Coturnix japonica: one gene and its partner. The protein of the gene in region 1 binds, or shares a complex with, the protein of each later gene. Links are inferred from orthologs where the notes say so. Each region holds a gene or a part of one and is shown on either strand. Other genes may lie near its edges.

Region 1 (4,497 bases):
TTCGCTTTGGTTTGACTACTGCATGTAGTGAGAGGTTTCACGTGGGAACTGAAAATCACTTCTTCAAACCGAGGCACAAATAATCCCGCACAGCAGCCCTCATTTCAAGCAGTGCCACACGAGCTGTGCTGCCCGCGTCCCGACTCCTGCCGCTGCAGCTCTGCTCAGCGCCCCGCAGCAGCACTCGGTGTGACGTTCGGTTCTGTCCTGCCTGCCCCATTACTGCTCCTGGCGGCTCTCACAGCAACAGCGCCGCGAATCCGATGTGAGCTCAATCCCGCAGCATCCACCTGAATGCCACTGCAGAAACACAAACGCGTGTGCAGTTGCAACCACTGCAAAATCATCAGACAGCACGAGACTCAAAGAGTTAACACGGATTTACATTTTTATGAGGAACAAAAATCAGTTCATACACAAACATTTAAGAAAGAAAAAAGTCCACAAGAAGGGCAGACGTTGCCTACTTCAGAACCTCACACTGCAGAACAGCCTGCTGCTATCTGTTAGCAACCTGCTGCTCTGCAGCCTGGGGAGCAGTTCACATATCTGCTAAAACCAACATTGCTTTGAGTTATGCACAGAGACACACAGACACACATCTGTGTATTTGAGGTATGGGGGAACATGTAGGTGAAGAACCTTTCTTATTTCTAGGAAGCATATAAACAGGAGGCACATCTGTTTACAAGGGTGGATAGTGGCAGGACAAGGGGGAAAGCTTTTAAACTGAGACAGGAGAGGATCAGGTTGGATAATAGGAGGAAGTTTTTCACCCAGAGGGTGGTGGCGCACTGGAACAGGTTGCCCAAGGAGGCTGTGGATGCCCCATCCCTGCAGGCATTCAAGGCCAGGCTGGATGTGGCTCTGGGCAGCCTGGGCTGCTGGTTGGTGACCCTGCACACAGCAATCATGAATCGTGAATGGTCATTGAGGTCCTTTTTAACCCAGGCCATTCTATGATTANAACAGGTTGCCCAAGGAGGCTGTGGATGCCCCATCCCTGCAGGCATTCAAGGCCAGGCTGGATGTGGCTCTGGGCAGCCTGGTCTGCTGGTTGGTTGCACACAGCAGGGGGTTGGAACTGGGTGAGCACTGTGGGCCTTTGCAACCCAGGCCATTCTATGATTTCTCTCTGTGCAGCTGGCCTGCTGAAAAGCACAACTCTGCCTGGGGGAGCCAGGCCTGCAGCTGGGGCAGCTTCTGTGGCTCTGGGGGCACCAGCAGCCTGGGCAGACCAAGACCAACCATGCTCCCCAAGGCCAATCCCTGGGACAAGAAAATGAGGCTCAGAGCACCCACCTTCTGGGAACGCTCCCTTGGTAAACCAGTATGGGAGCTGAGGGTGTGGGCACAGAGGTACAGAGCAGAAAGGGGTCCCAAAACCAAGATGCAGTTCATATGGCTGAAAAGGTGCCCTCACCTAGAGATAAAGCAAGAATTCAGTAATGAAGGACAAATTAAGGCATTCAAGGCATGTTCTGTGTAAAAATTTGTCAGCCTGAGTTGCTGCAGTGAGGGTTTATGAACACATAGGCTAACACAGAAATGCTTAGTCGTCTTTCCGCCAGCACAGAAGTTTTGGGCCAAGCCCTCAGAAGGCAACTGTGGAAGCTCTCACGTGAGCACACCCCACACTTTGTAATTCAAACATAAATCCAGCATGTGAGAGAGCGAATTTCCACCAAAACCGAATTATTCAAGCAAACCTGGTGCTGCTTTGCCACCGATTTTAGAGTCTGGATTAAGTGAACCCTTGGTGTCATTTTCTAACACAGGGAGCTGAGCCACGTGCATTTCCTCCAGGCAGACAACCCCATTTGTGTGACCATGGAATGTTCTGAAATAGTCCAAAGCAAACTCCTCTGGGTCCTGTATGTGCCAGGCCATCAGGGTCACTGCTCAGTAGTGCATGAGAGCAGGAGCAGAGCCCTCACAGAGCAGCGCACTCCTGCACACTGTTTGTCTTTGGAAGCTGAGCTGCCAGCACAGCAGATGTTCTACAGTGTGACTGAGTGTGTTCCAGAACTTCAGTGCCGACATTAGCTCCCAGCACACGTCAACTGACGGCCCCTCCTAAACCCAGTGCTTTGCTATGTGTGTGGCTCAGAACACACATCCTTTCAGTCGAGGGTTTCCTCCTGCAGCATTTCGCTCCTCTCCATGGACAGCCGCTGCAGGTCCTTCTTGATGTCGGGGTGGTCCTCCAGCTCCTCGTACAGCGAGCGCACGATGTCCAGCTTCCGATAGTCCCCGGGGCGGACCAGGCTGCGCACCACCTGCAGGCAGCGCTCCTTCAGCGTGAACACTGCGGGGAGACAGAGCGGGCACGAGGGCAGCGGGCGGCTGGGAACCGGCACAACACAGACAGCCCGGCAGCGTTACGGAGCCTACGAGGGGCGCCCGGAAAGTAAAGCGTGCCATCTGTCTGCACGGGAGCTACACCGGACAGGCGGTCACGGTAACACCGGTGCGTAGAGCGGATTCTCAGCTACAAAGCGTTATTATCGGACGCGGCCGCCAGCATCAGCTGCGCGTTGTGTCCGGCGGTGAACGCGCCCCGCCCGCCCCGCAGCGCCCCGCACCTGGCAGCGTGATGTCGGCGTTGCTGACGTCAGGAGCGGCCACGAACAGCTCCTGCCGGTTGACGAGCAGCCCGTCGTGCGAGCCCGCGTCACGGAACAGCCACAGGTGTCCTGCGGGGAGCGGCGCTCACAGCGTGGACACTCACGGCAGCACCGCGCGGCACCGCGCCCCCTCACCGCCCCCTGCCCGCTCCACGTCCGCTCCGTAACCGCCCCCTGCCCGCTCCCCGCCGCTCACCGCGGTAGCTGTGCATGACCCGCCCGGTGCGCGGCCGCAGCACGGGGTAGTACCGCGGCCGGCCCTCGAAGTCCACCCAGATGGGCAGCACGGCTCGCGGGCTGCGGTTGTTGAACACGACCTCGGACAGCTCGCGCGTGTTGGCGGAGCGCAGGCCCGGCGCGGCGCGGCCCGGCGGCGACATCACTGCGCGAGGCCGGGCGCCGCCCAACCGCGCATGCGCAGAAGACGGCAGGGCGACACGCATGCGCAACGAGCCACGGCGGCGCTGACGTAACGCGGGGGCACGGTGACGTCACGGGATGCGCTCGGAGCAGCGGCTGCCCAGAACACGAACACCGAGACCAAGTGCCTTTATGGAGCTAATAAACTTTAATAGGCCTAAATCCAGCTCTGAGAGCGGTACCACGAGCTTGAATACACTTCAATGGAATGACAAGCTGGTAATTAGTGTTTCAGCCTCTGATGAGCAGAGTAATTAGCCTGAGAAACCGCAGGATGTTCAGAGAAGGAAACAGACATTCATTGAACAAGAATTGAACAAGACATTCATTGAACATGAATTCCTGTCATTAGGGCAGCATCCCTACAGCAGCTCCTACAAAACCCCTCATCGCTGCCCCTCAGTGCCAGCATCACAACTCCCAGGTAACACCGCTCCCAGGCAGAAACCACAACTGCTCTGCCTCACCCACAGCGGGACCTGCAAACAGCCCGAGGCACCAACAGCACTGAGCTGGTAACAGGTAAGAAACAAACAGCAGCACCTGCGCACTGCTAGCATTTCCTCACTGGAGCATCAAACATCTTAATTCACATCTGGGAAACAGTATCAACTTTAAACTTTCAGTTTGGAAAAGTTCTACAGCAAAGAGGTACTACCTCCAAACCCTTTGAGATGACTAACTGGAATACTAAGACTGGCATTTTAAGATAGGATTTCTACAGTTCAGGGGAAAAATAAGCTGCCAATTGGCTCCAAAAACGCCTCAACATGTTTTCTACTATAAGCAGAGGGAACAAACATTTAACTGAGAAATACAACAGATGTGGTAGAAAAGACTCAGGCAAAGGAGAGCATTGCTGACACCACTACTGACTTTCAGTTAAGGTGGCAGAGTGAAAAGCAATAACTTAAGTCAGGTTCAGAGCACACAGTAGAACGGGGAGTTCTCAGGTTGGTCCCTGGTTCAGTGCTCAATTTACACAATTCTTATTTATTGCCTTTCGCTCAGGAACTGAGACAAACACTCTCAGCAACCTCCTTTACCAAGCTGCTCATCTGGAAATGATGCAGGTCTCTGCTGTCTTCCTCCACAAGGGCTGTCACCAGAAGGACTTATTTTCTTCCACTCTTTCCCAGGTGCGTTTCAGAAGATACACTGCAGCATGAAGTCCCCCTACATTCACCCACACTGTGTGACTTTTGCGCCAGATGTGTCCCAGTCTCGACAAGGCCTATGACAGAAAAATAGCACACAAAAAAGCTGCAAGAGTGGTGGCAGCTTCTTCAGGATAAGAATATAAGGATAAATTTGCTTTAGATGTTATTCCTGGCTATAGCAAATCACACCTGAATAAGGTCTAAAACCACATGAAAATGCTGCTATTCATCTCTTTAGAAACAGATCACCTGCCATAGTGAAGTCAGCTTAAAGTTTTTCTCCACAATAG
Region 2 (3,808 bases), on another chromosome or scaffold:
ATGAAAAGGTGCCCAGTTAACAATAAAATAACAATAATAAAAAAGCATTATGATGGCAAGCCACCTGCACGCCTTACATGTGGACCAGAAAATTCTGGAAAGCAGAAAGGCTGATAATGTCACAGTAAGTGCTAATATAGTTCTCTACTTGCTGCTGGCTGGTCTGTGCTCTGTTTAGAAAACAGGTATATTAGGAAAGCACATCATGTTTTTATCTCTTGTAAATACTGCTGGACCTGCAAGAGAACAGCGAGAAGTACAAGTAACTGACACCACAGCTACAAATAGAGCTATACAGAAGCCTTCAATCTGAACATCTACATACCATCTTCATGTCTGGCCTCCGGTTTTTTTTCTCATTCAGGCACCGATCAGCAAGTGAATACATTTTATGAACTGAAGTTGCATCCCAGTCTCTCATCTTTACATCAACATAATCCTCAATAGTCGCCTCCTCATCCTCAATTTCATCCTTGATACTTAACTACAAGAGAGTTGGAACCAATGAGCAGAGAATACAGTAAGCATCTGAAGATCATAAATTCCACACGAATACTTTGACAACTTGCTTTTCAGTGCTCTTCATTCTTTGTCTAGAGAAGTGATTGAGAAAAATAACAGCAATGGTTGGGTAGCACAATTATTCATCAGTATCTACCAAAACAACTTACAAGACTATAGTGGGGATTAAAAACTTGTAAATATTTGAAGCTAGGGATGCCACATTATCTCATAATGCCCACTCTCTGTGCTCCCAAAAGGAGCCTATCAAATCAGACTTTATATTCCAGAAGATAAAGCTTAGAGAAGATAAAGCCTAGAGAAAGTGCCCTATTAATAGTATACAGGTAATCCTAAAGCTGCCTATGTGTGAGAGGGTGACCAGCTATCAAACAGTGCGGAACAAAACCAAACCAAAACCATAACCAAATGATATGATGAAAGAGGATCAGGGTATCTGGTAAAATAAGGGCATGCTGGTAAAGCTAAATAGCATTATAACAAGAAAGAGTATCAGAACAAAGAGAAATATAATACAGATTGGAAAGAGATGATGTGGGGACTGGACAGTCTCCTACCAGCTAAGAGTAAAATGCTTCACTTCTAAAATAAAGATTGATACAAAAGTGGTTCCCATAACTATTCATCAAGTGATGCAATTTGCTTGTCTCACCACCTGTTACCTGATGACTATTTTACATGAAATGATCCTAGAGGAAGAAAGCAGAAAAGTACCAGCAACTGTGGCTCCCGGTTTTCATCTACTGGTGGCAGACCTGTTATTATTTCTAGTAAGACCTAGAAGAAAAAATAAATAAATCAGAAGAATAGAATACATTAATCCTTAGCATACACAGTGTTTGAAAAGAGGAACATGATCCTCAGCCTTTCACACAAATGCTCACAGGATCAGTACCTGTCCCATTGCACAGCCCACTACACAACCCATAGTTCCTGTTGTTCCCAGCCTTATTCTCATCATCTGCTATTAGCTGTGATGTTCGGCACTTTTCCACACCCTACACTGCGTTGTCTCTAAGTTGGAAGATGGAAGAATTTCACAGATACTCAGGTACAGTGTTTGACCTACATCCCTATGAAACTAAATGGCACGAAGAAGGGAATAGATTCACTTTTCTCCCAAATAGCAGGCAGTTGTTTGGGTTTTTCTGATTAGATATGCACTGTACTCAGCTTTCAGTCAAATCCCACACTGACAACATCCATTTGGTGATGAAACTCACTTTGGATCATTGTCTTTCAGATTTTAAGTAAGTATCAACAGGTGCAAAATTTTAATCAAAATTTTAATCAACATATTCAAATGCTTTTAGACCACTCAAAGAGTAGAAACACTATCTTAAGAGCACATTCACTGGGAAAAGGAAAAATAACAGATGAAAATAGAATCATGGAATCACAAGGTTGGAAAGGACCTACAATATCATCTAGTCCAACCATCATCCCTTTACTATACCTACAGAAAACCACTAAACCATATCTCCTAGCTCCCCACCCAGATGCCTCTTGAACACTGCCAGGGATGGCGACTCCATCACCTCCCTGGGCAGCCATTCCAGTGCCTGACCACTCTCTGAGAGAAAATGTTCCTTCTTATGTCCAGACAAAACCTCATCTGATACAACTGGTGGCCATTTCCTCAAGTAGATTGCTTAATTTCGGGTATTCTTGATTTTTTACACTTCTTCCAATATGAAATCAACCAACACATAAACACAATCACATACAGCTTCCCTCATTCTACTTACTACCCCAAAGCTGAAGATATCAGACTTAGGCGTTATTTCTCCTCGCAGAGCTTCAGGTGCCATATAGGCTGCTGTTCCCACAACTCTGTCTGTCATGATGGTTCGTGTGAATGTTACTGATGCTCTTGCAAGTCCAAAGTCGGAAATTTTAGGCACATAGGTATCAGTTAATAAGATATTTGCACTGGTGAAGAGGGGAGAAAAATGAAAGGAGCTTTCCAAAACAGTAACTGGGTTTTAATATAGACTAACAATTCTTTAGTAACCAAATGCAAGCTGCTATTCTGAATGTTTCTAGAAATAACAGATAACCCCAGCAAAACACAAAAGAAAAACACAGCCAAATTGAGTAGTGGAGCACAGTAGAATTCTTAACTGCTAGACCTCTACTCAGAACTAATAAAAGCTGGCTTTAATGGTTTATACCTATTATCTAATACAATGTCAACTGTTACACACTGCAATGTCAAATGATTACCAATACTTGTATTCTCCTGAAAGAGAAACAATACTGCTTAATGCTGGAATTATCTATGTGCTGTGTTTCTCTTTATCTCCAGCTTTTTACTGGTCTTACAGAAAATCTGAACAGTGAAAATGCAAGAAGTTGCAAAATGGAATTGAAGCCAAAAAAAAAAAACAACAACAAAGCCAAATCCAACCCTGTGATAAAATCAACTCACAGCAGTTAGAAGAGTAGAGCAGCATAAGGTAAGAAAACGCATCCCTTCCAGGCACTACGCATGTCCTGATGCTTAAGCAGGAAAGAAAGAAGAAATATGAGTTGTCAAAGCAGCAAGTACCTTTTATGGGTGAGCTGAAGCAAAAACTACTTCCTCACAGAATGGAAGTTCACAAAGCCTGTACAGCCTAGACTTAACAGAGGTGTCAGAAGCCAGAAAGCCACTGAAACATTCCTCTATGACACCCAACCCACTGGTTGCTCCTTGTCAACCTACAGAAGAAGCAGGGTACCCATATCTAGGCATTTTCTTGAAACATTTTGACTACTTTGTCAGTGCAAACAAAAAGAACAACCAAAACATCTATTTTGCTATAACAAATAAGTGAACAGACATCAACCTTAAAGGTAATTAAGCTTCATGAACCTGATTTAACGTCTTCATATTAAACAGAAGGAAATCAAAGGAGGAACTCAGAAATGCTCCAGGGAAAAAAAAAACCAAAAAACGTTGGGTTTTCATCTGAAAAACTCCCAATTTAAAAAGTCACAACGTTCTGTTACGGCAGCTTCTTTGTGAGCAGCAATTGCGAAAGAACAGAACTCCTACACGCCTTTGCAGCGCTCAGATAACGATTTGAAAGTGACAGATTACAACAGACTCTTAATCATCTTTAGAAGCCTGTACTAGTCATGTCCCTGTGGCACAGACAAGATTATGGTGATGGATAGCACTTGCAGAAAGGATTGCGTCCTTGAGTAAAGCACTGAATCTTTCTGTTTTCTCTAACAGACTTTAAAAAAGTACAACAAAAAGCACCCAGTGTCTTTTACCTTTTAATGTCTCTGTGAATAT

Evidence for each region.
Region 2: the proteins of interleukin-1 receptor-associated kinase-like 2 (region 1) and IRAK4 are in contact, whole or in part, in a crystal structure (PDB 3MOP), measured with the Homo sapiens proteins. The link is inferred for Coturnix japonica from reciprocal best matches to the Homo sapiens genes IRAK2 and IRAK4. Residues at the interface, in NP_001561.3 of Homo sapiens: Tyr6, Ile36, Lys44, Met48, Glu59, Trp62, Trp63, Trp64, Gly65, Met66, Arg67, Gln68, Ala69, Gln73; in NP_001107654.1 of Homo sapiens: Asp24, Phe25, Pro28, Gln29, Lys34, Glu92, Phe93, Phe94, Ala95, Pro96, Ser98, Val105.

Annotation. Positions count from the first base shown.
Region 1 is NC_029527.1:16,756,279-16,760,775, reverse strand, and holds the start of interleukin-1 receptor-associated kinase-like 2, read right to left. Parts: upstream 3,102-4,497; 5' UTR 3,071-3,101; coding exon 2,824-3,070; intron 2,697-2,823; coding exon of another isoform or gene 2,586-2,696; intron 2,309-2,585; coding exon of another isoform or gene 2,124-2,308; exon of another isoform or gene 1,461-2,123; intron 1-1,460. Other genes in the region: THUMPD3 (THUMP domain-containing protein 3), read right to left, coding at 4,150-4,281. UniProt on the Homo sapiens protein: Binds to the IL-1 type I receptor following IL-1 engagement, triggering intracellular signaling cascades leading to transcriptional up-regulation and mRNA stabilization.
Region 2 is NC_029516.1:27,252,618-27,256,425, reverse strand, and holds part of IRAK4 (interleukin-1 receptor-associated kinase 4), read right to left. Parts: coding exon 3,787-3,808; intron 2,455-3,786; coding exon 2,271-2,454; intron 1,300-2,270; coding exon 1,237-1,299; intron 485-1,236; coding exon 326-484; intron 237-325; coding exon 204-236; 3' UTR 1-203.